Linked DNA regions of Anolis sagrei. The main gene of each other region encodes a partner of the protein of the gene in region 3 in a complex. Links are inferred from orthologs where the notes say so. Each region holds a gene or a part of one and is shown on either strand. Other genes may lie near its edges. The genes, in order: SEMA4D, ARHGEF12 and PLXNB1.

Evidence for each region.
Region 1: the proteins of PLXNB1 (region 3) and SEMA4D are in contact, whole or in part, in a crystal structure (PDB 3OL2), measured with the Homo sapiens proteins. The link is inferred for Anolis sagrei from reciprocal best matches to the Homo sapiens genes PLXNB1 and SEMA4D. Residues at the interface, in NP_001123554.1 of Homo sapiens: Leu80, Pro81, Pro82, Glu87, Arg136, Pro137, Gly138, Asp139, Thr140, Tyr142, Gly178, Glu202, Lys205, Ala207, Gly209, Arg210, Ser212, Glu213, Arg235, Arg242, Asp359, Val360, Asn361, Ser362, Leu367, Pro368, Thr371, Tyr375, Ser379, Asp380; in NP_001358123.1 of Homo sapiens: Glu99, Lys100, Gly101, Phe158, Tyr179, Phe181, Leu182, Gly183, Ser184, Arg198, Tyr201, Ile203, Glu208, Val240, Leu264, Arg265, Thr266, Leu267, Gln268, Lys270, Thr347, Gln350, Ser351, His352, Thr353, Asp388, Gln392, Lys395.
Region 2: the proteins of PLXNB1 (region 3) and ARHGEF12 are in contact, whole or in part, in an NMR structure (PDB 2OS6), measured with the Homo sapiens proteins. The link is inferred for Anolis sagrei from reciprocal best matches to the Homo sapiens genes PLXNB1 and ARHGEF12. Residues at the interface, in NP_001123554.1 of Homo sapiens: Glu2129, Lys2131, Val2132, Thr2133, Asp2134, Leu2135; in NP_056128.1 of Homo sapiens: Phe82, Gly83, Leu84, Thr85, Val86, Ser87, Gly88, Asp89, His127, Val131, Lys135.

The regions. Positions count from the first base shown.
Region 1 is NC_090022.1:234,407,897-234,415,962, forward strand, and holds the start of SEMA4D (semaphorin-4D), read right to left. Parts: upstream 3,073-8,066; 5' UTR 2,640-3,072; intron 2,628-2,639; exon of another isoform or gene 2,507-2,627; intron 1-2,506. UniProt on the Homo sapiens protein: Cell surface receptor for PLXNB1 and PLXNB2 that plays an important role in cell-cell signaling. Regulates GABAergic synapse development. Promotes the development of inhibitory synapses in a PLXNB1-dependent manner.
Region 2 is NC_090027.1:37,523,969-37,531,407, reverse strand, and holds the start of ARHGEF12 (rho guanine nucleotide exchange factor 12), read left to right. Parts: upstream 1-4,391; 5' UTR 4,392-5,062; intron 5,063-6,757; 5' UTR 6,758-7,439. UniProt on the Homo sapiens protein: May play a role in the regulation of RhoA GTPase by guanine nucleotide-binding alpha-12 (GNA12) and alpha-13 (GNA13). Acts as guanine nucleotide exchange factor (GEF) for RhoA GTPase and may act as GTPase-activating protein (GAP) for GNA12 and GNA13.
Region 3 is NC_090022.1:26,207,944-26,215,124, reverse strand, and holds the start of PLXNB1 (plexin-B1), read right to left. Parts: upstream 3,037-7,181; 5' UTR 2,999-3,036; intron 1-2,998. UniProt on the Homo sapiens protein: Receptor for SEMA4D. Plays a role in GABAergic synapse development. Mediates SEMA4A- and SEMA4D-dependent inhibitory synapse development. Plays a role in RHOA activation and subsequent changes of the actin cytoskeleton.

The DNA.
Region 1 (8,066 bases), about 210 Mb from region 3:
CTGAAATACAGCCTACAGCAGTCTCCCATCCAAGTATTAACCAAGGCTGACCCTGCTTAGGTTCCAAGATCACATTGGATCTGGTGCCTTTAGGGTATTTATCATGTCCCATGGACCGATATTAATATAAATATTGGCACTAAAGGCAAAGGAGTGTCTCCCCTCAATCTGGATTAAATTTTAATTTTTTGCTCCCAACTTGGATTAAATTTTAATTCGATTGCATCCCTTTCAAGTTCAAAAACATTCCTTTTGACAGGTTGTCCCTCCCACACCTTCCTTCATCATTTTTCCTCTTCCCACAGGAGACTCCCCACAATAATTAAAGGCGACCCCTCTGGCCCTTTCCTCCCTATGTCAAGTTTCCTTTGAAAACATCCAAGAAATGGGTTACAAAGGGTGCATCTACATTGTAGAATGAATGCAGTGTGGCACTACTTTCACTGCCATCGCTCATTGCTATGGAATCCTGGGAGTTGTATTCTGGATCTACTTCACTGTAAAATCAGTGCAGTTTGACAGCATTTTAAATGCCATGGCTAATTGCCAAAGACTCAGAGGTGTTGCAGTTTCACAGAGTCCTCAGCCTTCCCTGCCAAACAGTGCCTCATCAAACTACATCTCCCATGTATAGTTGAAAGCTTTCATGGCCGGAATTGCTACGTTTCTGTGAGTTTTCCAGGCTGCATGGCCATGTTCCAGAAGCATTCTCTCCCAACGTTTCACCCACATCTATGGCAGGCATCCTCAAAGGTTGTGAGTTCTGTTGGAAACTACGCAAGTGAGGTTTATATATCTGTGGAAAGAACTGCAATGCAAGTGCGAATTGGCCACCTTGATTAGCACTGAATAGCCTTGCAGCTTCAAAGCCAGGCTGCTTACTGCCTGGGTGGGGATCCTTTGTTGGAAGGTGTTAGCTGGCCTTGATCATTTTCTGCCTGGAATTCCACAGCAGTTCAAATTGTGTCAGAACTGCAGTGTAGGCCCCTTCCACACACCAAAATGAAATCCCACATTATCTGCTTTGCAGTGGGATATATGGCAGTGTGGGCTCAAATTACCCAGTTCAAAGCAGATATTGTGGGATTTCCTCCCTTGGTATTCTGAGTTATATGGCTGTGTGGAAGGAGCCCATGTGTTTTTGAACTGCGTTTCCCAGAATTCATCGCCACTGGCTCTGACAACTAAGGCTGAATCTATACTGCCATATAATGCTGTTTGAATTATATGGGTTATTACAGGATGGATCTGAACCCTCTTCTACACTGCCATATAATCTTGGTTATATGGCTGTGTGGAAGGGCCCGTAGACACACCTGTACTTTTGCAAGGTCTTTAGCCTTTTGCGGGGAGGGGAGAAATAGTGCTGTTGCCTCACCAAACTACAAATGGAGCCATGGCAGTGAAAGAGGTGCAGAACTGCATAGATTCCACCATGCAGACGCACCCAAAGCTAGACTTGATTCCTTCTGAAATCATGGCAGTGCAACAGTGGAAGCTCACAAGACTTCAACACTGCAATATTGAAGTCTTGTACACAAAGGGGCAGTGGGTGCCAGAAAAATTGTATATGTGGGATGAACATAATTCAAAAACCACTGGATGATTTGACACCAAATTTGGACACAATATATGTAGCAGCCAACAAGTGACCATCACTCATAAAAACACTGAAAAACACAGCAGAAGAGACTTAGAAAGCAAAAAAAAAACCAAAAAAAAAACAACCCCAAAATACATTACAACGCATGCGCAAAATCACATATAAACACAAAACACACACACACACCTATTACACACACATACACATACACATACTGGACCACAGCAACGTGTGGCAGGGGAAGGCTAGTACATATATACATATTGGGGAGGGTCGAAAAGGAAGGAGGGAGAAAGGGGCAGCCAAGGCCATTCTTCTAGCCAAAGCAGGGGAGGGGGGAAAGTAAGGCAGAGAAATAAAGGCAAGGCAGACTCCATCCACAGCAGTCCAGCCACACACAACAAGCACACACAATGCGCCTGCTTCTTTCCCACCAACACAACCATTGGTGCCCCCCTTATTGACAAGGCTAAAGGAGTCCAAAGAGAGGAGGAAGACCCTCGATTTAAGGGGAGGGGGAGCACCCCATTTCAAGGGGAGATCCTCATATCGAGTGGAAAGACCCCCTCTCCTTTGAAGGGAAGAGACAAACCTTTGAAGGGGAGGGAGTGGGAGCCCCATTTGAAGGATCCAAAGGAGAGACCCCCCATTTCAAGGAGAGGAAAAGGAGACCCCCCCCCCATTTAACCCTCCCCACTTGCATCTCTTTCCCTGCCTGCAGATCAGAAATCTGTCTTGAAAACACCCCTCCATCTCCTCCCCCCTTTACCCAAATCCGAGTCCCTGCAGCAAGCCCCGCGCCCAGTGTATTGCATTTGATATTGCAACCTCTCCCGGTTCCCACGATCCGAAGAGGAGGGGATGGGACCCCCAACCCGATGACCCACCCCCCAAACCCCTCACCTTTCTCTCAATGCCGAACCAAAACCCGGGAGAAGCAAATATAGGGGGAAGAAGGCCACCTTGTTGCCTCTTCTTTCCTCCCGAGTCAATCCTCTGCCGCAAAGTGGAGCCACTGCCTGCAAAGGCTTCCTACCTGCTGCTGCTGCTGCGATTGCTGCTCGACAACTTCTTTATTTTCCCTTTCCTTTTTCTCTCGCTGCCACGAGCCCGCGTGGAAAGGGAAAGAGGCGATCGGTGGGAGGAGGAGTTGGCGGTGCCAGGCTGGAGCAAGTTTGGGTTGCCCCCGCAGTTATGGCGGCTGCCAGAAAAAGAGAGAGAGAGAGAGACCAGGAGAAAGAGGAGGAGGCAAAGCGATCCGCGTTCACACAAACACACACACACCACGCCAATCCACCAGCTCCAGCTAAAGGGAGGGGAGCCCCAGGCGGGCGCTTTCCAAAGGGGAAGGCTTTAGGAAAGCGAGAGTTCAGTCAAAGGGAGAGGGAGGAGGAGGGAGGTGGGCTGCTGGTGGGATTAGCAGCAGCAGCAAAGGCTGGTTGGTGGGGTCTCGTGGTTTCTCTCCAGCGGGAAGGCGCCCCCTCCCCATCTATACCCACCCTCCTCCCACCCTCGAGGAATATTTTACTAAAAGGCTCCCGGTTGGTGGAGGAAATATCCCACGAAACCGAAACACGGCCCCTGCAGGTTGCGAAGCCTCTGCACCACGTGGAGGGAGGCTGGGGTGGCTGCTCTCGCCTATCTTCCAGGAGGCATTGGGGGCATTTACGCACTGGAGTTTCACACCACTTTAGCTGCCCTGGGATTTTGGCACCAGCACTCATTGGCACAGAAGAAGGCGAAAGGCCTTGCCAAATTACAATCCCCATGATCCTACAGCATGGCAGTTAAAGCGATGTCCAACTGCATGACTTCAGCACCATAGCTGCACTCTTTCTCTGCCTCTTAGCAATTGTTTTCTTCTTGAAGGCCATCTACACTAGTGGTTCCCAACCTTTTTTTGACCAGAGACCACCTTGACTAGGGGCCACTTTAAACAGTAATCACTTGTTCAGGGACTACTTGACCAGGGACCACTTTGACTAGGGACCACTTGACCAGGGACTACCTCGATCAGGGACTACTTGAACAGGGACCATTTTGACTAGGGACCACTTTGAACAGGTACCCCTTTAACTAGGTACCACTGTGACCAGAGACCACTTGACCAGGGACCACTTTGACTAGGGACTACTTGAACAGGAACTAGTCTGGTGATAGAAACCACAGAGCACTAAATGACTCACTTTTACACACTTTTGTGGGAGTTTGTGTTGGAATTCAACCCCACACTGCCCAAGTCTGAAGTTTTCAATGAGGAGCAGTTAGTTTAGTATGGACTAAGGATGTCCCTTCCCCCATGTCTCCTGTATGACAGTTGGGAATTATTATTATTATTATTATTAAACTTTATTTGTACCCCGCTAGCATCTCCCAAAGGATTCGATGCGGCTTACACAGGCCGAGGCCTCAACGCACAACATAATAATACAATCTAAGCAAATCAAACAATTAAAAACAAAGTAAAGCAAAGTAAACAACAGGCACAATACACTAAAAAACAATAAAACTGGGCTGGGCCAGAGGGTGGGTACAAAGATTAAAAGTGCTGATGTGACAGGAGGTGTATAAAGGGCTTCTAGGGCAAGTGCGATGTGCAGCAATCCTTGGTTCTGATAAAGTGCTTATGGGACTTGGTAGTGGGGATTTCCTAATCTGGGAAGGCGCATCAGAAAAGCCAGGTCTTCAGGTTCTTTCTGAAGACAGCCAATGTAGGAATGTAACTATTTCTTCTGTCCTCTGTTTCTGTTCCCATTCTGATTGGGTGTGTGAAATTGATACTTTTCTATTGCAAGTCTTTTAAAATCTGACTTCTGTTTCTTACATCTTTGAATGTGCTGTGTGCTGTGTGCTTTGAGATCTCTCTCTGTGTTTTTCCCACTCTTTGAATCCTTAGAAGAGATGGGTGTTAGAGTAGCTCAGACCCAGTTCTTTACCATGAAGATATGTAGTTAGTTCCTTATTATTGTAGAGAAGCCTTTTGTGATTTTTAAGATTGGACTCTGTATCTTTGCCTGCCTAAGCTCTAAATTCTTTATAGCCACATCACACTTTGCTCAGTAATGAGCTGAAGCTCAACTTTTGTGCCCTGTTTGCTTTTGGATGCTCTGCTATATTTTAGGTTAGTTTTCCCTAACCGTTTGCTGTCTCGTTGCTGCAGGTTGAAGCTCATTCGAACTGCATTAAATGGTCAATGTAGATGGAATCTAGGTTTTTCAGTTCCTACCTCTTGGGGATGTTATTCATTGGTATTAAATTACAAACAGGAAAAAAATCATAGCATGAACATATAAAGCTACTGAGATTTACCTATTGTCAACTCACCAGTCAAACATTAAGGGTGCATCCATACTGTACAATTAATGCAGCTTGACACTACTTTAACTGCCATGGCTCAATTCTATGGTGTCCTGGGAATTGTAGTTTAACAAAGACTTTAGCCTTCCCTGGCCAAGAGTGCTTCTGCCTCACCAAATTACAAATCCCAGGATTCCATAGCATTGAGCTATCACAGTTAAAGAAGTGTTAAGCTGCACTGGTTTTGCAGTGTAGATACACCCTATGTCAATGGGACTATTCTATTTGAGACTAACAACTAGAACTCTGTGTCTATAAAACACTCTTAAAGACATTGGTTCTCTTTTTTAAATAATATTACGACACTATAGTAGGCCTTGGGATCTGCTGGAATTTAGCTCCAGGACCCCTAGTGGATACCAAACTCAGTGAATACTCTAGTCCCTTGATAAAGAATACTATAGTAAAACAGTGTTTTTGTGTTGTTGTTTTTTAAAGTCAAGCAAGGAATGGTGAAATTAATGACTGCACAATCTGTGGATATCGAGGACCGGGTTGCTGTGAGTTTTCCAGGCTGTATGGCCATGTTCTGGAAGCATTCTCTCCTGATGTTTTGCCCACATCTATGGCAGGCATCCTCAGAGGATGAGAGGTCTGTTGGAAACTAGGCAAGTGGGGTTTATACGTATATCTGTGGAATGTCCAAGGTGGGAGAAAAAACTCTTGTCTGCTTGAGGCAAGTGTGAATGTTACAATTGGCCACCTTGATTAGCATTTAATGACCTTGCAGCTTCAAAGCTTGGCTGGTTGCTGCCTGGAGGATCCTTTGTTGGGAGGTGTTAGCTGGCCTTGATAGTTTCCTGTCTGGAGTTCCCCTGTTTTTGAATGTTGTTATTTATTTAGAGTGTTTTAATACTGGTAGCCAGATTTTGTTCATTTTCCGGTTTCCTCCTTTCTGTTGAAATTATCCACATGCTTGTGGATTTCTATGGCTTCTCTGTGTAGTCTGACATGGTAGCTGTTTGAGTGGTCCAGCATTTCTGTGTTCTCACATAATATGCTGTGTCTAGCTCGGTTCATTGTTTGAAACATGCTCCTTTTCAGCAGGGAAATAGTGGAACAAGTCTGAGGCCTGGATAGTGATGATACAAGCCAGAGCACTGATGCACATTAGGGAGTTCTTTTACACACTTCTGTGGGAATTTGTTGTCTGGCCACCACAGTTTGACACTAACTTTGAATGAACAGTATTAGATGGGGTTGTAGTGTGAGATCAGGTAGCATAGTGTGGACCCACCATATCTCTGAGCTCAGGATCTGCAGTTTCAGACAAGTTTGGATTCAAAGCAAAGGTGGTGTCAACCTTTGGCTACAAGTCACTTGCTAGTCAGTCACTTGATTCTGCCTTGTGAACAAATAAGCTGAAGCCCCATAACCATCACCTCAAATACTTGCTGCCACCTCCACTGGTGCCCTACACCGTTTTATTAATAGGGACTCCAGCATCCGATGATTATGGTGATGATCTGTGCAAAATTTTGGATCTTCACAACAAATGGCAAGACACGTGCTAAACCAAAATTCATCTAAAAGAGACTGCCTCCCCATGGACCCCACAAGGGAAGGACAAAGGGAACTCACAACTTTTCCAAGACTAAGAGGATTCACACCCTTGCCATGAGTTGACAAAATTTTATCACCAAAACATCTCTGTAACTTCAACTGGAATGATCAGTCAGAAGTAGAGTGGAATCGTAGTATCCACAGGTATTTGCTCCACATCCTCATCTTCCTGGTCTCTATGCCTTTAGTTTGTACAGTGGACAGAAAATGCAATTGTTAGAAGATGCTGGAAATCGTAATACTATAATAAGAATAAGAATAATAAGAATAACAACAACAACAACAACAACAACAATGCAACAACAACAATAATAGGAATCTGAGGGCCTGATTCTTGCAGCCCAAGAACAAGCAATTAGAACAAATACCATCAAAGCCAGAACTGAAAAGTTGACTCCAGAATCCAAGTGTAGAATCTAAAAGGAAGCAGACAAAATGATGGATCACATCATCAGCTGCTGCAAGAAGATTGTGCAGATGAACTACAAGCAGAGGCATAATACCGTTACTCAGATGATCCATTGGAACTTATGTCAAAAATACCATCTACCAGTAACAAAGAACTGGTGGGATCACAAACCTTAAAAAGTTACAGAAAATGAACATGCCAAACTACTCTGGGACTTCCGAATATAGACTGACAGAGTTTTGGAGCACAATATTCCTGACCTCATGTTTGTGGGGGAAAAAACAAAGTATGAATCATCGATGTTGCAATCCCAGGTGAGAGCAGAATTGACAAGAAGCAACTAGAAAAGCTTACATGATATGAGGATTTAAAGACCGAACTGCAAAAACTCTGGCACAAGCCAGGAAAGGTGGTCCCAGTGGTGACTGACACACTGAGTGCAGTGCCTAAAGACCTTGGCCAGCACTTAAAAACAATCAGCGCTGACAAAATTGCCATCTATCAGCTGCAAAAGGTCACCCTACTTGGGTCTCCACATATTATTTGCCGATACATTATACAGTCCTAGGCACTTGAGAAATATCCGACATGTGATCAAATACAAAAGCCAGTATAGTGATCTTGTTTGCTGTGTACTAATCTTGTTATGTATCAAATAATAATAATCTTTATTTTAATGTTATTTTTAATAATAATCTTTATTTGGAAGACTCAGGGCGGAGTCCAAAGGCGAAAAATGGCAAACATTCAATGCCATGTGCAATAACATAATAAAACATTAAAACAAACAGTTATGGTCAAAATAAACAAATTAAACACTTTGGCTAAAACATATAAATCAGTCAAACATCATAAATATCACATTGAACAGTTAAAATATGTATAAAAATATAGCTCTTCAATAAGTTATGGTAATTGTCAACATTGTCAGATGAGGTGGGATCGATGGTAAACTAGTCTTCCTCTCCATAGGCTAACGTACAAAAGTAGGTTTCTAGTTGTTTCTTGAAGGGGCTGTTGTAATTTCTTTAGGGAGGGAGTTCCAGAGGGAAGGAGCGACCACAGAGAAGTCTCCCTGTCTTGTTCCCACCAGCCGCACTTAGGATAAGGTGGGACCGAGGGGAGGGTCCCCTC
Region 2 (7,439 bases), on a different chromosome or scaffold from region 3:
TGCCTGTCCCTTGTGAACAAGATTAAGAAAGTCACCAGTTGATTCAAAGCCTTGAAGTATTTGTTTGACTTATTGAAGACCTAAGCACTAATAAAGAACTTTGTTAAACTTTCCAAGTTTCTAAGTTTCCAAGACTTTGTTTAGGGAAATCCAAAAGGCCTCTAATCTGAGGCACCCCCGGCGTCCCGTTGGGCATACAGAATACGTCCTGTCTACAGACTCTTTCACAGGCCCAGTGCGTGACAGCACAATTATTTATGAATGGTCTATGGTCATAATGTAAATAAACACATTCCTGAACCTCTAATAGTTTTCTTCTCTGCAGAATTATTATAGTTTGACCACAGTTTAACTGCCATTGCTCAGTGCTATGGAATCCCAGGAGCTGGAGTATTCCAGGGCTTTTAGCCTTCTCTCCCAGAGTGATGGTACTTCATCCAATGACAACTCCCAGGATGCCATAGCATTGAGCCAGGGCAGTTAAACTGGGATCAAAATGCATTCATTTCCCAATGTAGATGCACTCTAAGAGTAATTACTTATTTGAATTAAAGTAAAGGTAAAGGTTTTCCCCTGACATTAAGTCTAGTCATGTCCGACTCTAGGGGCTGGTGCTCTTCTTCACTTCTAAGCCGAAGAGCCAGCGTTGTCCATAGACGCCTCCTGGGTCATGCGGCCAGCATGACTGCATGGAGCATCGTTACATTCATTTCCCAATGTAGATGCACTCAAGGAGTAATTACTTATTTGAATTATAGAAAAGGTAAAGGTTTCCTCGTGACATTAAGTCTAGTCGAGTCCAAGCCTGGGGTTGGTGCTCATCTCTATTTCTTAGCCAAAGAGCTGGCATTGTCCGTAGTCACCACCTAGGTCATGTGGCCAGCATGACTGCATGGAGTGTTGTTACCTTCCTGCTGAAGCGGTACCTATTGATCTATTCACATTTGCATGTTTTTGAACTGCTAAGTTGGCAGAAGCTGGGGCTAACAGTGGGAACTCACCCTGCTCCCTGGATTTGAATTGATGACCTTTTGGTCAGCAAGTTCAGCAGCTCAGCGGTTTAACCTGCTATGTCACTGGGGGCTCTCATTTGGATTATAACTTTCAGAATTTTCCAGGGAACATTGCTGAATGATCATCCAAAGACCTAGTTTTCCAAGCTCTGGCTGATACCCTTTACAAATTTGTCTATATTTTGTAACAAAGACTTGTAGCAATGAGTTCCACAGGTTTACATGCAGCGCAAAGAAGTTATTCTCCCATTCATCAACCATAAGCCTCCTGAGTGTCACTGGGTGTTCTTTGTATTAGAAACTAGGCACACATTTATGTCTGTTATGCAGAATTTCTGCCATTCTGCTCACTGCTGCGAAACAAGGAGAAACCCCTTCATGGCAACTGTGCCTTAACAATGATAGATTATTGCATTAGAGCTGAGCTCTGACCATAGATTTTCTGGCAAGATGAAATAAATGAGCTTCCAAACTGTTGTTGCTTTAGTTTATTCAGGTGTTTTTCCCTCAGAGAGGGGAAGTGAAACTCAATACAATGTTTGCAGTCCGTTCATCTTAAGTGGCTGCCGATCAATTTATGGGGTGTTTAGTCTGGGATGTTGCACTTTATGCTCGTTCTTCTCCCTGAAGTCGATAGATTGACTTTTGTCCTGTTTTGCAAAATGTCTGGAAGTGATTTCCAAGAGAACAAATTTTGCAAAATAATAATGATGATGATAATAATAATAATGTTGACACGATATGAGGATTTAAAGATCAAACTGCAAAGACTCTGGCACAAGCCAGTAAAGGTGGTTCCAGTGGTGATCGGCACACTGGGTGCAGTGCCTAAAGACCTTGGCCTGCACTTAAGCACAATCGGTGCTGACACGATTACCATCTGCCAGCTACTGGGATCTGCATGCATTGTTCACTGATACATCACATAGTCCTAGACACTTGGGACATGTTGGATGTGTGATCCAATACAACAGCCAGTATAGTAATCTTGTTTGCTGTGGACTCATCCTGTTGTGTTTCAAATAATAATAATAATAATAATAATAATAATAATAATAATACGTCTCTGGGTTTAAAATCGTTGCCACTTTAACATCTTGGCATACATATTTTAAAAGTTTTCCAATTCTTCTATTGATCTTAAGGGGGAAAATAAACAGAATACGCACACTATTCAAACATGTCATAACATCTGTGAATAGTCAAATCTCCTAAAGTAAAAAACAAGGAGGGTTAACTATATTTGTCCTGCGACATTTCAAATGAGTTGATTTCGCAACCACAGACAGAAATAGGAAAAACAATGGCAGGGCACAGATTGGGTTGCTGTGTGTTTTCTGGGCTGTATGTCCATGTTCCGGAAGCATTCTCTCCTGACGTTTCACCCACATCTATGGCAGGCATCCTCCGAGGTTGTGAGGTCTGTTGGAAAATAGGAAAATTGACTTTATGTATCTGTGGAACAATGTCCAAGGTGGGAGAAAGAACTCTTGCCTGTTGGAACATACTGTCTCCAATGTCTTTCTTTGGCACCAAATATTGCAATACCAGGAGCTTCCTGAAGGTGGCAGCACTTTGCATATGGCGCTTGGGTTGCAATTCTCTCCTAAGTGGGACTTACTCCAATGTAGACAAGGATTCAGCCTCCAAAATAAGTCCAGCACCTTGGAGAGGCCTCTATTTCAGACTATGTGTGGCATCTCCCTAACTCTTCTCCAAAAACACAATGCAATTCGATTTCCCATTTCATATTGCTCCTTAAAGGAACTTTCCCCCCCCCCCGCCCTCCTTTATCGGCCTATGGCGGAAGCGGCAACGCATGTGCTGTGACAGGAAGAGTCGAGGCGGAGCAAGGGAAGGGCGTGACGCGTGCCGACGCGGAGGGATCCTCCCGAAGGGGAAAAAAGGGAGGGGGAGAGGAGAAAAACGAGTCCCGGCATCTCCGGAAAAGCCCGAAGCCTTCCGAGTGAAAGCCTGAAGTAAGGGAGCAGAGGAAGCAGGCGGAAAGGAACGAGGCGGGGCGATTAAGAGTCGGAATTACCGGAAAACTCCGAAGATAGCCGAGCTGAGTCGAGAGAACTCCGACTTACAGAAGTAGAAGGGGAACATGAGGGAGCGAAAAATGAATCCGGAAAAAGCCGGAGATAGCCGAGTGTGGCCGAACTAAGAGGCATAAAGTAGAAGGGGAAAGAAATGTGTGTGTGTGGGGGGGGGTAACGTTCGGGAAAAGTCGGAAAAATCCGAAAGTAGCCGAAGTGAGTCGAGCAAATTCTTGAAGGAATGGAAGCGGAGGAAAGAGGCGAAAGGGAGAAATGAGTTCGGGAATTGCCGGAAAATCCCGAAGGTTGCCGAGTATTGAGTCGAGCGAAGAGGCATAAAGGGAAAGTGGGGGGGTTCGGGAATATTCGGAAAAGTACGAAAGTAGCCGAACAGAGTCGAGGGAATTCCTGAAGGATTAGAAACGGAGGAAAGTGGGAAATAAGTCCGGGAATCTCCGGAAAAGTCCGAAGGTAGCCGAGAACGAGTGAGAACGAACCGCTGTGTAAAGAAGCCGAAGGGGGAGAAGGAATGAAGTCCGGGAATTACCGGAAAAGCCCGAAAGCAGCCGAAAACTGAGTTGAGCGGAGAGGCATAAAGGATCGGGATGGGAGGAGGAGGAGGGGTTACGTTCGGGAATTTCCGGAAATACCCGAAGGTTGCCGAATACTGAATCGAGCGAAGAGGAATAAAAGAAAGGGGGGTACGTTCGGGAATAGTCGGAAACCGCCGAAAGTAGCCGAACAGAGTCGAAGCAATTCCAGAAGGAATAGAAACTGAGGGAAGAGTCGAAAGAGGGAAATGAGTTCGGGAATTGCCGGAAAAAACCGAAACGAGTGAAGCTAAGAAGTGGAGGAAGAAAGGGGAAGAGCGGGAGCTGAAGAAATCCGGGAATGGCCGGAAAAGCCCGAAAATAGCCGAGTGCAGATAATGACTGAAATAAAGGGGAAAAAAATACTAATTGACTCGGGAATGTTCGGAAATACCCGAAAGTTGCAGAGTAAAGGCAGGGGGGACGTTCGGGAATAGTCGGAAATCCCCGAAAGTTGCCGAATAGAGTCGAAGCAATTCCAGAAGGAATAGAAACTGAGGGAAGAGTCGAAAGGAGGAAATGAGTTCGGGAATCTTCGGAAAAGCCCGAAGGTAGCCGAGAACGAGTGGAGGAAAAAAGGGGAAGAGCGGGAGATGAAGAAATCCGGGAATGGCCGGAAAAGCCCGAAAATAGCCGAGTGGAGATAATGACTGAAATAAAGGGGAGAAAAAAACTAATTGACTCGGGAATGGCCGGAAAAGACCGAAAATAGCCGAGTGGAGATAATGACTGAAATAAAGGGGGGGGGACACAAATTGACTCGGGAATGGCCGGAAAGTCCCGAAGATACCCGACAGGAGCCGAAAGCGAGTGGGGCGAATCCCTGAAGTGAAGAAGAGGCTGGGAAAGGGGAGGGAACGTCCGGAAACACCCGAAAGTAGCCGAGCGGAGCCGAGCCGGGGCCTGCCTGAGGGAAGCCGGCGGGGCGGAGGGGGGAGCAGCGCTGGCCTGAGGAGAAGCTCTTCAGGATCCGGAGAGGAGGCCGGAGCGGGGCCTGCGGAGGAGACCAGGCCGAGGAAGAGAAGGAGGAGGAAGGCCAGGCCAGGCCTCGCCACATTCCTCCGGCGGGAAGGAGAAGGAGGAGGAGGAGGAGGAGGAGGGGGCGAAACTAAGTCTCCTCCTCAGGCCCGACGTCGAGGGAGAAGGGCCGACGGGCCTGAGGGGACTTCGGCCGAGAAGCAGGAGGAGGACAGCCACCCCCAGGCTCGGGACCCCCCTCAGGAGGCACTTGGAGGCCTGGAAGAGAGACTCCAAGGGGGAAAAAAAGGAGGAACCCGACCTCAAAGGGGAGCCACACAACTACCCATCCACACTGCCCTCGAGGGTGGCTCCTTTCTGCACCCCTTTTTCGTCAGGAGCAGAGGAGAAGGAAAGGAAGCACAAGGAAGGCTCGAGGAGAGAGGCACAGACCCGCAGACAGGTATACACACACAGAAACATACCTGCAGATGCAAACACATCCATCCATCCATCAAGTGCTGCTTTGACTCTTCTTTGCAGCCCTTTTTCCCTCAGGGCCAGAGGAGAAGGAGGAAGAAGAAGGAGAGGGATCAAGAAGGCTGGAAAAGACACACACACAGATACAAACACAAAACACATACACAAACCTAGACACACGTGAAACACATACATAAACCTATTCACACACACAAATACAAACATAAAACACATACATAAACATAAACACATACCACCCCACACATACATACAGATACAAACATAAATACACAAACACATACCTACACGCAGATACACACACATACAGATACAAACATAAAGCACATACCTACACACAGACAAAATACAAACCGATACAAACATTAAACACATACATGAACACACACAGATACACATACATACAGCTACAAACATTAAACATACTCAAGCACATACCTTCACGTACATAAACACATACCTTCACACAGATACACACACATACAGATGCAAACATAAAGCACATACCTACACACAGACAAAAATACAAACAGATACAAACGTTAAACATATAAACATAAACCTATACACAGACACAAATACAAACATAAAACACATATATAAACATAAACACATACCACCCCGCAAACACATACATACAAATACAAACCTAAATACATAAACACATACCTACATGCAGTTACACACGCATACAGATACAATCATAAACACACACCTTCACTCAGGTACACGCACATACAGATACAAACATTAAACACATACATAAACACATATCTTCACGCAGATACACATACATACAGCTACAAACATTAAACATACTCAAGCACATACCTTCACATACATAAACACATACTTTCACGCAGATACACACACATACAGATGCAAACATAAAGCACATACCTGCACACAGACAAAAATACAAACAGATACAAACATTAAATACATAAACATATACCTTCACACAGATACACACACGTGCAGATACAAATATAAAACACATACATAAACATAAACCTATACACAGACACAAATACAAACATAAAACACATATATAAACATAAACACATACCACCCCACAAACACATACTTACATACAGATACAAACATAAATACATAAACACATACCTACACTCAGGTACACGCACATACAGATACAAACATTAAACACATACATAAACACATATCTTCACGCAGATACACATACATACAGCTACAAGCATTAAACATACTCAAACACATACCTTCACGCAGATACACACACATACAGATACAGACATAAAACACACACATAAACACATACCTACATGCAGACCCATACATACAGATAACAAACATAAAACACATACATAAACACATACCTACATGCAGAGACACACACATACAGATGCAAACATAAAACACTTTCTTAAACACAGACACATACAGATACAAACATAAAGCAGATACATAAATACATACCTTCACATACACACATATAGACATAAATATTAAAAAAATACATAAACACAGCCAGGTGCAAACATTGACACAAAGACATACATCCAGGTACATATATGTACATACTGATACAAGCATAAGCATACACACTCAAACATATACATATATACACACAGGGCCCAACACGGCTGTGACTTCGTTTTTCTTTTTGCCTTTTCTCCAGGACAAGAGAGGAAGGAAGGAAGGAGGGGAGATCTAAAGAAGGCCGGAGGCAGGCCAACAGATTCCACATTCTTGTGTGTCAACTCCGGGCTTAGAGAAGAAAGAAAGAAAGACGGGATGTAGAGGAAGACACACACACACTCCATAGAAAGCGTGGCTGTGATTTCTTTACGCACCCCAAAAACAGGACCAGAGGAAGGAGGCTGTGCCATCGCAGTCCACCTTGGAATCCAATTCTGGGCCTTTATTTTGTTGCCTTTGCTTCTACGACTCGGCCTGGAGATGAAAGAGAGAGACGGGATATCAAGGCAGGTGGAGGCTTGAGAAGGCCACAGCCCTATTTTTTCCCCTTTTCTTTGCCCCAATTTTCATCCAGGACAAGAGGAGAGAATTCAGTCTAACTCAGAGATTTCGCTTAGATATTTCCACTACTTTCCCTTTTCTCGGTGGGGACAAAAGAAGGGGGGGGGGGCTGCTATTTTTGTATGTTTTTTCTAGATAGATACTTGATTCTCTATAGGAAGGGGCTGTTTTCCTGTTGACAACCCCACCCTCAGCATCTTTTCTTGACAATCCCATATAGAAACAGTAGTATCTATTTCCCTCTAGCCTGTTAAGGGTAGATAGTAATATAAATCCTTAAAAGGGAGGGCAAATCAATCTTTGGTGAGCAAAGCATTAGA
Region 3 (7,181 bases):
CATGCTTCAAATTACATTGTTTCATCTGCAGGCGCTATAAGCTTGAACTGTTGTTTTTGTTGCTGATTGTTTTTAGAGAAGCTAATTTTCTCCATTTTTCTGGTATTTCATCTGTAGTATTGTGATGTGGTCTGCTGTGGGAGGAAGTCCATGGATATGACAAAGTGTGTTCCCACACTGGTTGAGACCAACCCTGGTGACACCATTGTGCATCCTTTTGAACATTTCACACAAGACGTCAGGACATGTGTAGCCAACAATTTTATTTATTTATTTATTTATTTATTTATTTCATTTACTTATACCCCGCCCTTCTCACCCCGAGGGGGACTCAGGGCGGCTTACAATGGGGGCACAATTAGATGCCCAAGGCAATTCACAAACAATACAAATACAAACAATTCAACAATTAATTAAAAACATCAGTACATAATAAAAACAATAAAACAGTCTCATGCTCAGGGTTCAGAGTCCATATATCCATTCCATTCCATTTGTCCTTGTCTAACATCAGATCCTTCAGTTAGCTGTCAGAATGACCAAAGGCTTGATCCCAGATCCAGGTCTTCAGTTTTTTCCTAAACGCCAAAAGGGAAGATGACGATCTAATCTCCCCGGGGAGTGAGTTCCACAGGTGGGGGGCCACCACTGAGAAGGCCCTACTCCTCGTCCCCGCCAGCCTCACTTGTGACAGTGGCGGGGTCGAGAGCAGGGCCTCCCCAGAAGATCTTAAGCTTCGAGGTGGGACGTAGAGGGAGATCCGTTCGGACAAATACACTGGGCCGGAACCGTATAGGGTTTTGTAGGTCAAAACCAGCACTTTGAATTGTACTTGGAATTGGATCGGCAGCCAGTGGAGCTGACGCAACAGGGGGTTGTATGCTCCCTGTACGCCGCTCCAGTGAGCAATCTGGCTGCTTCTCGCTGGACTAATTGTAGTTTCCGAGCAGTCTTCAAAGGCAACCCCACGTAGAGTGCGTTGCAGTAATCCAGCCGGGATGTGACAAGAGCGTGGACCACCGTGGCCAGATCTGGCTTCTCAAGGTACGGGCGCAGCTGGCGCACAAGTTTTAATTGTGCGAAAGCTCTCCCGGCCACCGCTGAGACCTGGGGTTCCAGGCTCAGCGATGAGTCCAGGATCACTCCCAAGCTGCGAACCTGCGTCTTCAGGGGGAGTGTAACCCCATCTAACACAGGCTGTAACCCTATACCCTGTTCGGCCTTACGACTGACCAGTAGGACCTCTGTCTTGTCTGGATTCAATTTCAATTTGTTAGCTCTCAGTCCGATACAGCGGCTAAACACCGGTTCAAGGTCTGGACAGCCTCCTTGGTGACAGGTGGGAAGGAGTGACAGATTTGGACATCATCTGCGTAGAGATAACATCTCATTCCGAAACTCCGAATGATCTCTCCCAACGGCTTCATATAGATGTTAAATAACATCGGGGACAAAATTGAACCCTGTGGGACTCCACACAACAACGGTTGTGGGGCCGAACAGGTGTCACCCAATAACACCTTCTGGGTCCGTCCCTCAAGGAAGGATCGGAGCCACTGTAAAGCGGTGCCCCCGAGCCCCATATCCATGAGGCGACCCAGAAGGATACCGTGATCGACGGTATCGAAAGCCGCTGAGAGGTCCAGCAGAACTAACAGGGACACACTCCCCCTGTCCAGTTCCCTGCGAAGATCATCTACCAAGGCGACCAACATCACAGTGTGATCAAGATGGCAAACTTATTTAATGAGGAAGAACACTTGACGATTGGAGAGTACAGCAATTTGCTTTGGAATAAATAGGTAAAGGTTCCCCCTTGCTTTGGAATAAATAGATAAAGGTTTCCCCTTGACAGAGTAAGTCGTGTCCTACTCTGAGGGGTGGTGCTGGGTTTTGCGGGAAATTGGCCTGGATATTTTGGAGTTGTAGGTACTGGGATTTATAGTTAACCTACAATCAATTAGCATTCTGCACTCCACCAAAGATGGAATTGGACCACACTTGGCACACAGAACCCCCATGGCTAGCAAAAAAACCAAAACAAAAAAAAAACCCACTGGAGGTCTTTGGGAAAAATACAACTTCATTTAGGGGACTTGTAGTTCACCTACATCCAGAGAGCATTGTGAACCCAAACATCAATGGATCTGAACCAAACACTGAGGGATCTGGACCAAACTTGGCACACATACCTGATATGCTGAAACTTGATTACTGCAGGGGTTTAGGGGGAACTGACCTTCCTTTCTGGGATTTGTAGTTCACCCACAACCAGAGAAACTGTGACCTCCACCGATGATAGACCTGTTCCAAACTTGGCACACAGATCCCCTATGATTAACTCAACCTACTGGAGGGGTTTAAGGGGGCTGACTCACGATAGTAGGAGTTGTAGTAGCCAGAGAGCACACCAAACCCCACTGATGATATATCTAGAGCAAACTTGACCAACATAACAAACTTTAAGTACTGATGGAGTTTCTTGGGGTTAACCTGGCATGACTTTATGCATTTTGTAGAATTTAAAAAATGACTTTTTCCAATAACCTGGGCAACGCTGGGTATCCAAGCTAGCAAAAAATAACAAAAGGCTAGCTGGAAAAGCCTTTTGTACAGAAGCACCCCAGTCAAATATGTTGAGTGGGTAAAACTAGGTCACAAAGGATTGCACTATAAACGCAAAGGTGTCCCATCTCCGTTTAGAACACCACACATGCAAGCGAAATAGCAAAGGCACTCACTCAAGCCCTTTTTTCCGGCTTTCCATTCCCTCACAAGGGAAAGAAAAGAGAGATCCAAATTACACAAACTGATCTCACAGCAGAGGACTTTCTTTGGCCTGCCACGGTCACACAAACATTTTCTCTGCTCCCAGACTTGGGCAGAGTTTTTTCTCCCACCCAAATCCCAAACTGGTAACTAGGAGACGGAGCCAAAAACACACTTCTTGCCTTGCTCTGATCCATTCATGACTTTTAAACACTAATCCCCTTTGTACCTCTCCTCCGGAGCCAATCCTTGCCTGCAGCCCATTCAGCCTGGTACAGAGTCCCCTTGCAAGCTTCATTTAAAGGACAGGGAGGGGAGGGGCGGAGGGGAGAGGAGAGGAGAGTGGGGGCCACATTAAAAAGAAAGGTTGGGAAAAAAGTAGCCTTTTCTTCCTGTCCCAATCTTGGTCTGGAGTGGAGAACTGTGTTTGTATGTTCCATGTCTTTGGAGCAGCGTAAAGACAGGGCTTTCACTGAGAGCAAGTGCCTGTCTGTCACAGCTCAGAGCATTCATTCCCAAACAGTGTGGTCCATTCATTGGCTGCCAGGCCTGGGCCCAGAATGCAGCTTCACCCCAGAGAAAACTGGGAGAGGCTGAGAAAAGGAGCAGAGGTGGGAAAGGAGAGCGGGCTCAGTGGCTAAGGGGATGGGTTCTCAATTCCTTATTTATGAGGATTTTCAAAATACAGTTTAAACCTGGCACGGGCAAACTTGGCCCCTCTAAATGTTTTGGACTTGGTCCCTCCAGATTTTTTGGACTCCAACTCCCACAATTCCTAACAGCCTCAGGCCCCTTCCTTTTCCCCCCTCAGCCACTTAAGCTTAAGGAAGGGGAGAAGTTTTTAAGTCTCCTGGAGCATCCCAGAGGTGAGCAAAAGTAAACATATGAAGTGACATCATCACCAAGCTGGTTGCCCATTTGGGTTGAAAATCAGAATAGTTTTTACAGCATGAACAGGAGAACAGCAACATGCAAATAACTCCAGATGAAACTGCGGACAAAGGTAAAGAATCATGGTTCTGTAAAAAGGTTAGCTTTTTTAGTCTGGATGAGGGCGAAGAAATTGAAATTGACATAGACACTTCTGGTCAGTCGCAAGGATGAACTGGGTATAGGGTTACAGTCTGTGCTGGTTGGGGTTACAGGTTCCCAGGTTTCAATGGTGACCAGGGGAGCTTTTGCACAATTAAAACTTGTGCGCCAGCCAGTTACGCCTGTAGCTTGTGAAGTCAGACTTGGACATGGTGGTCCATGCTCTTGTTACATGGAGAATAGACTACTGCAATGCGCTCTACATGGGGTTGCCTTTGAAGACTGTTTGGAAGCTTCAAGTGTCCCTGAGCGGCAGCCAGATTTCTCACCGGAGCGGTGTACAGGGAACATACAATTCCCCCTGTTGCGTCAGCTCAACTGGCTGTCAGTTTGCTACTGAGCACAAGTCAAAGTGCTGGCTTTAGCCTATAAAGCCCTAAACTGTTCCGGCTCTGCTTGTCTGAATCTATCTCCCTCTATGAACCATCATGGAGGTTAAGATCTTCTGTGGAGAGGCTCTGCTCTTGGTCCCACCTCCTTTGCAAGTGTGGTGGGGAGAGACAGGGTCTTCTCAGTGGTGGTTCCTCAGCTGTGAAACTCTCTCCCCACTGAGATAAGATCAGTGCGCTCCATCTTGGTTTTCAGAAAGACATGGTTGTGGGACCAAGCCTTTGGCCAGTAAAATAATGCAGTTTAAGACTAATTGGGGAACATGTGCAATTGACAACTTGGAATGGCTACGGTTTATGATTTTGATCATGTGATTTTAAAGTTTATACTAGGATGTTTTAATGCTATATCTAAATGTTGTGTATGTGTTATGTTTAATGGTCTTAATTTATTTTAACACATAGTTATATGTTATTCTGGGAATATGTTATTGTTGTCGCTTCTGGTGTGAGAGAATAGGCCATCTGCAAGGACATTGCCCAGGGGACGCCCAGATGTTTTTGATGTTTTACCATCCTTCCTATAAAGGGAACTGGAGCTGACAGAGGTAGCTCAAGCTGCTCTTCCCGGATTCGAATGGCTGATCTGTCGGTCAGCAGTCCTGCCGGCACAAGAGTATAACCCATGGGGGGCTGACATGAAAAAAAATTATTGTTGAGATATTTTTAATTTTTACATGTATGTCTGGCTTTGAATTTTGCCACTAGTATGTTGTAGTCCTCCCAGGGTTGAGAAGAGTGGTAAATAAATACATTAAACAAACAAACAAATAAATAAATAAATGAAGTGGGACACCCCCCCCCCCCCCCCCCCCGGTGGGTTAAACTTGTTGACCGAAGCAGTTTTTAATCCAGGGAGCGGCGTGAGTTTCCAGCTTCTTCCAACCTAGCAGTTTGAAAACATGCAGATGTGAGTAGATCAATAGGTAATGCACGAGCAGGAAGGTAACAGCACTCAATGCAGTCATGACCTTGGAGGAGTCTATGGACAATGCTGGCTCGTCGACTTCGAAATGGAAATGAGCACCAACTCCCAGAGTCAGACACGGCTGGACTTAATGTCAGGGGAAAACCTTTACCTTTTTAAAAATAAATAAATACATAAATTTATATTTATGGATTATGCATCTATGGATTCAACCACAAATGACTTGAAAATATCATAAGGGGAGGATTTGAAAAGGCCGAGCACTGAGCATTATGGGGATGCATGGGCATACCCTGCTGTAGCTGCCTGTCATTTCACAGATCCCCAGACTGTCTTCATCACTTTTTTGAAAAGGCAGCTAGAAAATACTACTCATTACGCCCAAACACTATGTTGTTGTGGTACTTTATAAATGTCCTTTTCTTACATATTCATTCACCTCTTTCTCTTCCAATCACAGTGGCCATGTTACTTATAACTGTATCGCCAACAAGCTCTGTGAAAACTGCAGACACATTGCAGGGCTGTGGGTGTCGGAGTGAGCTCTAATTTGAGAAATGTCCTGCCGCTGGTTTGGTGCCAGTGATTCCCCCTGCTGGTTCACAAGATGAATGTAAGCTGGCATCGGGGCTCTCTTGGCTAGCAGCGAAAGAGTGGTTTCTATCCGAAAAGGCAAGGAGGAGGTGGCTGAAAACTTTCCAGAGGTCAGGCAGCTTTCCAGCAACTACAAAAAGTCCCCCGTCCAGCTTGCTCTCCCAAATTGAACATGGAAATTAGTTTCCTCATTACGGGTACCTGGGAACCAGAGAGCGCTTGAATTGGTTCAATAGTCCTTTTTTTTTGTGCAAAGCTGCTGAGAAAAACAACAAGAGGCAAGACTATAGCTGTATTCCAAGAATCTCTAGGGATTCCTTTTTCATGCCCCAAGTTTTGCTGGAAGACCAGAAAGAGGGTTTCTATCCACAAAGTTGGCTTTTGGGGAGTGAAATGCAAAAGAAGGACATTCTTTGACCTTGGCTAATAGTGGCCTCAGTCACAAGGCCGTAATGACCTTACTAGCCCAAAGAAACAGCTCAGTAAAACCCCGCTTCCTCCAGCCCCAATTTGCAAAAGGAGCTTCTAAAGAAACCACAATTCCGGGATAAGTTTTTACAGGCAATTGTTTCCAGTTTCCTCAAAGCCCAAAGTGTTGCTAAGTTTGAAAGAAAACCACTGTTCAATTAATATTCAGAGCCCATGAGCGGATGTCAAATTTATTTCTAGGAAGCATTCGGAAACTGGCGTATGCCATGCTAATAAAGCCAAGCCTCAACAACACTTGTGGGCTCCTCTACTTTGTAGCAGTGGCCTTGGATTGCTAAATAGAGCTCTTTGTAGTGCGAGTTCCTTCATGGTTATGACCAAGGGGTTTCCTGAAACTGGCCACCCTTTGCTTCACTGTGGGAGAGATGTTTCAAAGGTTGAGGATGAAAGGGTATGGCTGAAGGTTTTTGTTGTTTTCCCATTTCAAAGGAAAGGGATGGCTGAAGTTTTTTTTGTTGTTTTCCCATTTCCAGTTAAATGATGAAAGTGGGTAAGTCAGGGGTGTTGAACTCATTTTCATCGAGGAGCACATCAGCCTTAGGGTTGCCTTCAAAGGGGCATTGAATCCATGGACAGAGAATCTTTGGACCCAGAGGGCCTATATATATTATGTGTGTGTGTGTGTGTGTATACACACACACACACACACACACACACATATGTAAAAGTTTCCCCCTGACATGAAGTCCAGTCATGTCCGACTCTGGGTGTGATGCTCATCTCCATTTCTAAGCTGAACAGCCGGCGTGGTCTGTAGACACCTCCAAGGTCATATGGCTGGCATGACTGCATGGAGCGCCGTTACCGTCCCACCGGAGCGGTACCTATTGATCTACTCACATTTGCATGTTTTCGAACTGCTAAGTTGGCAGAAGCTGGGGCTGACAGCAGAAGCTCACACCGCTCCCCGGATTCGAACC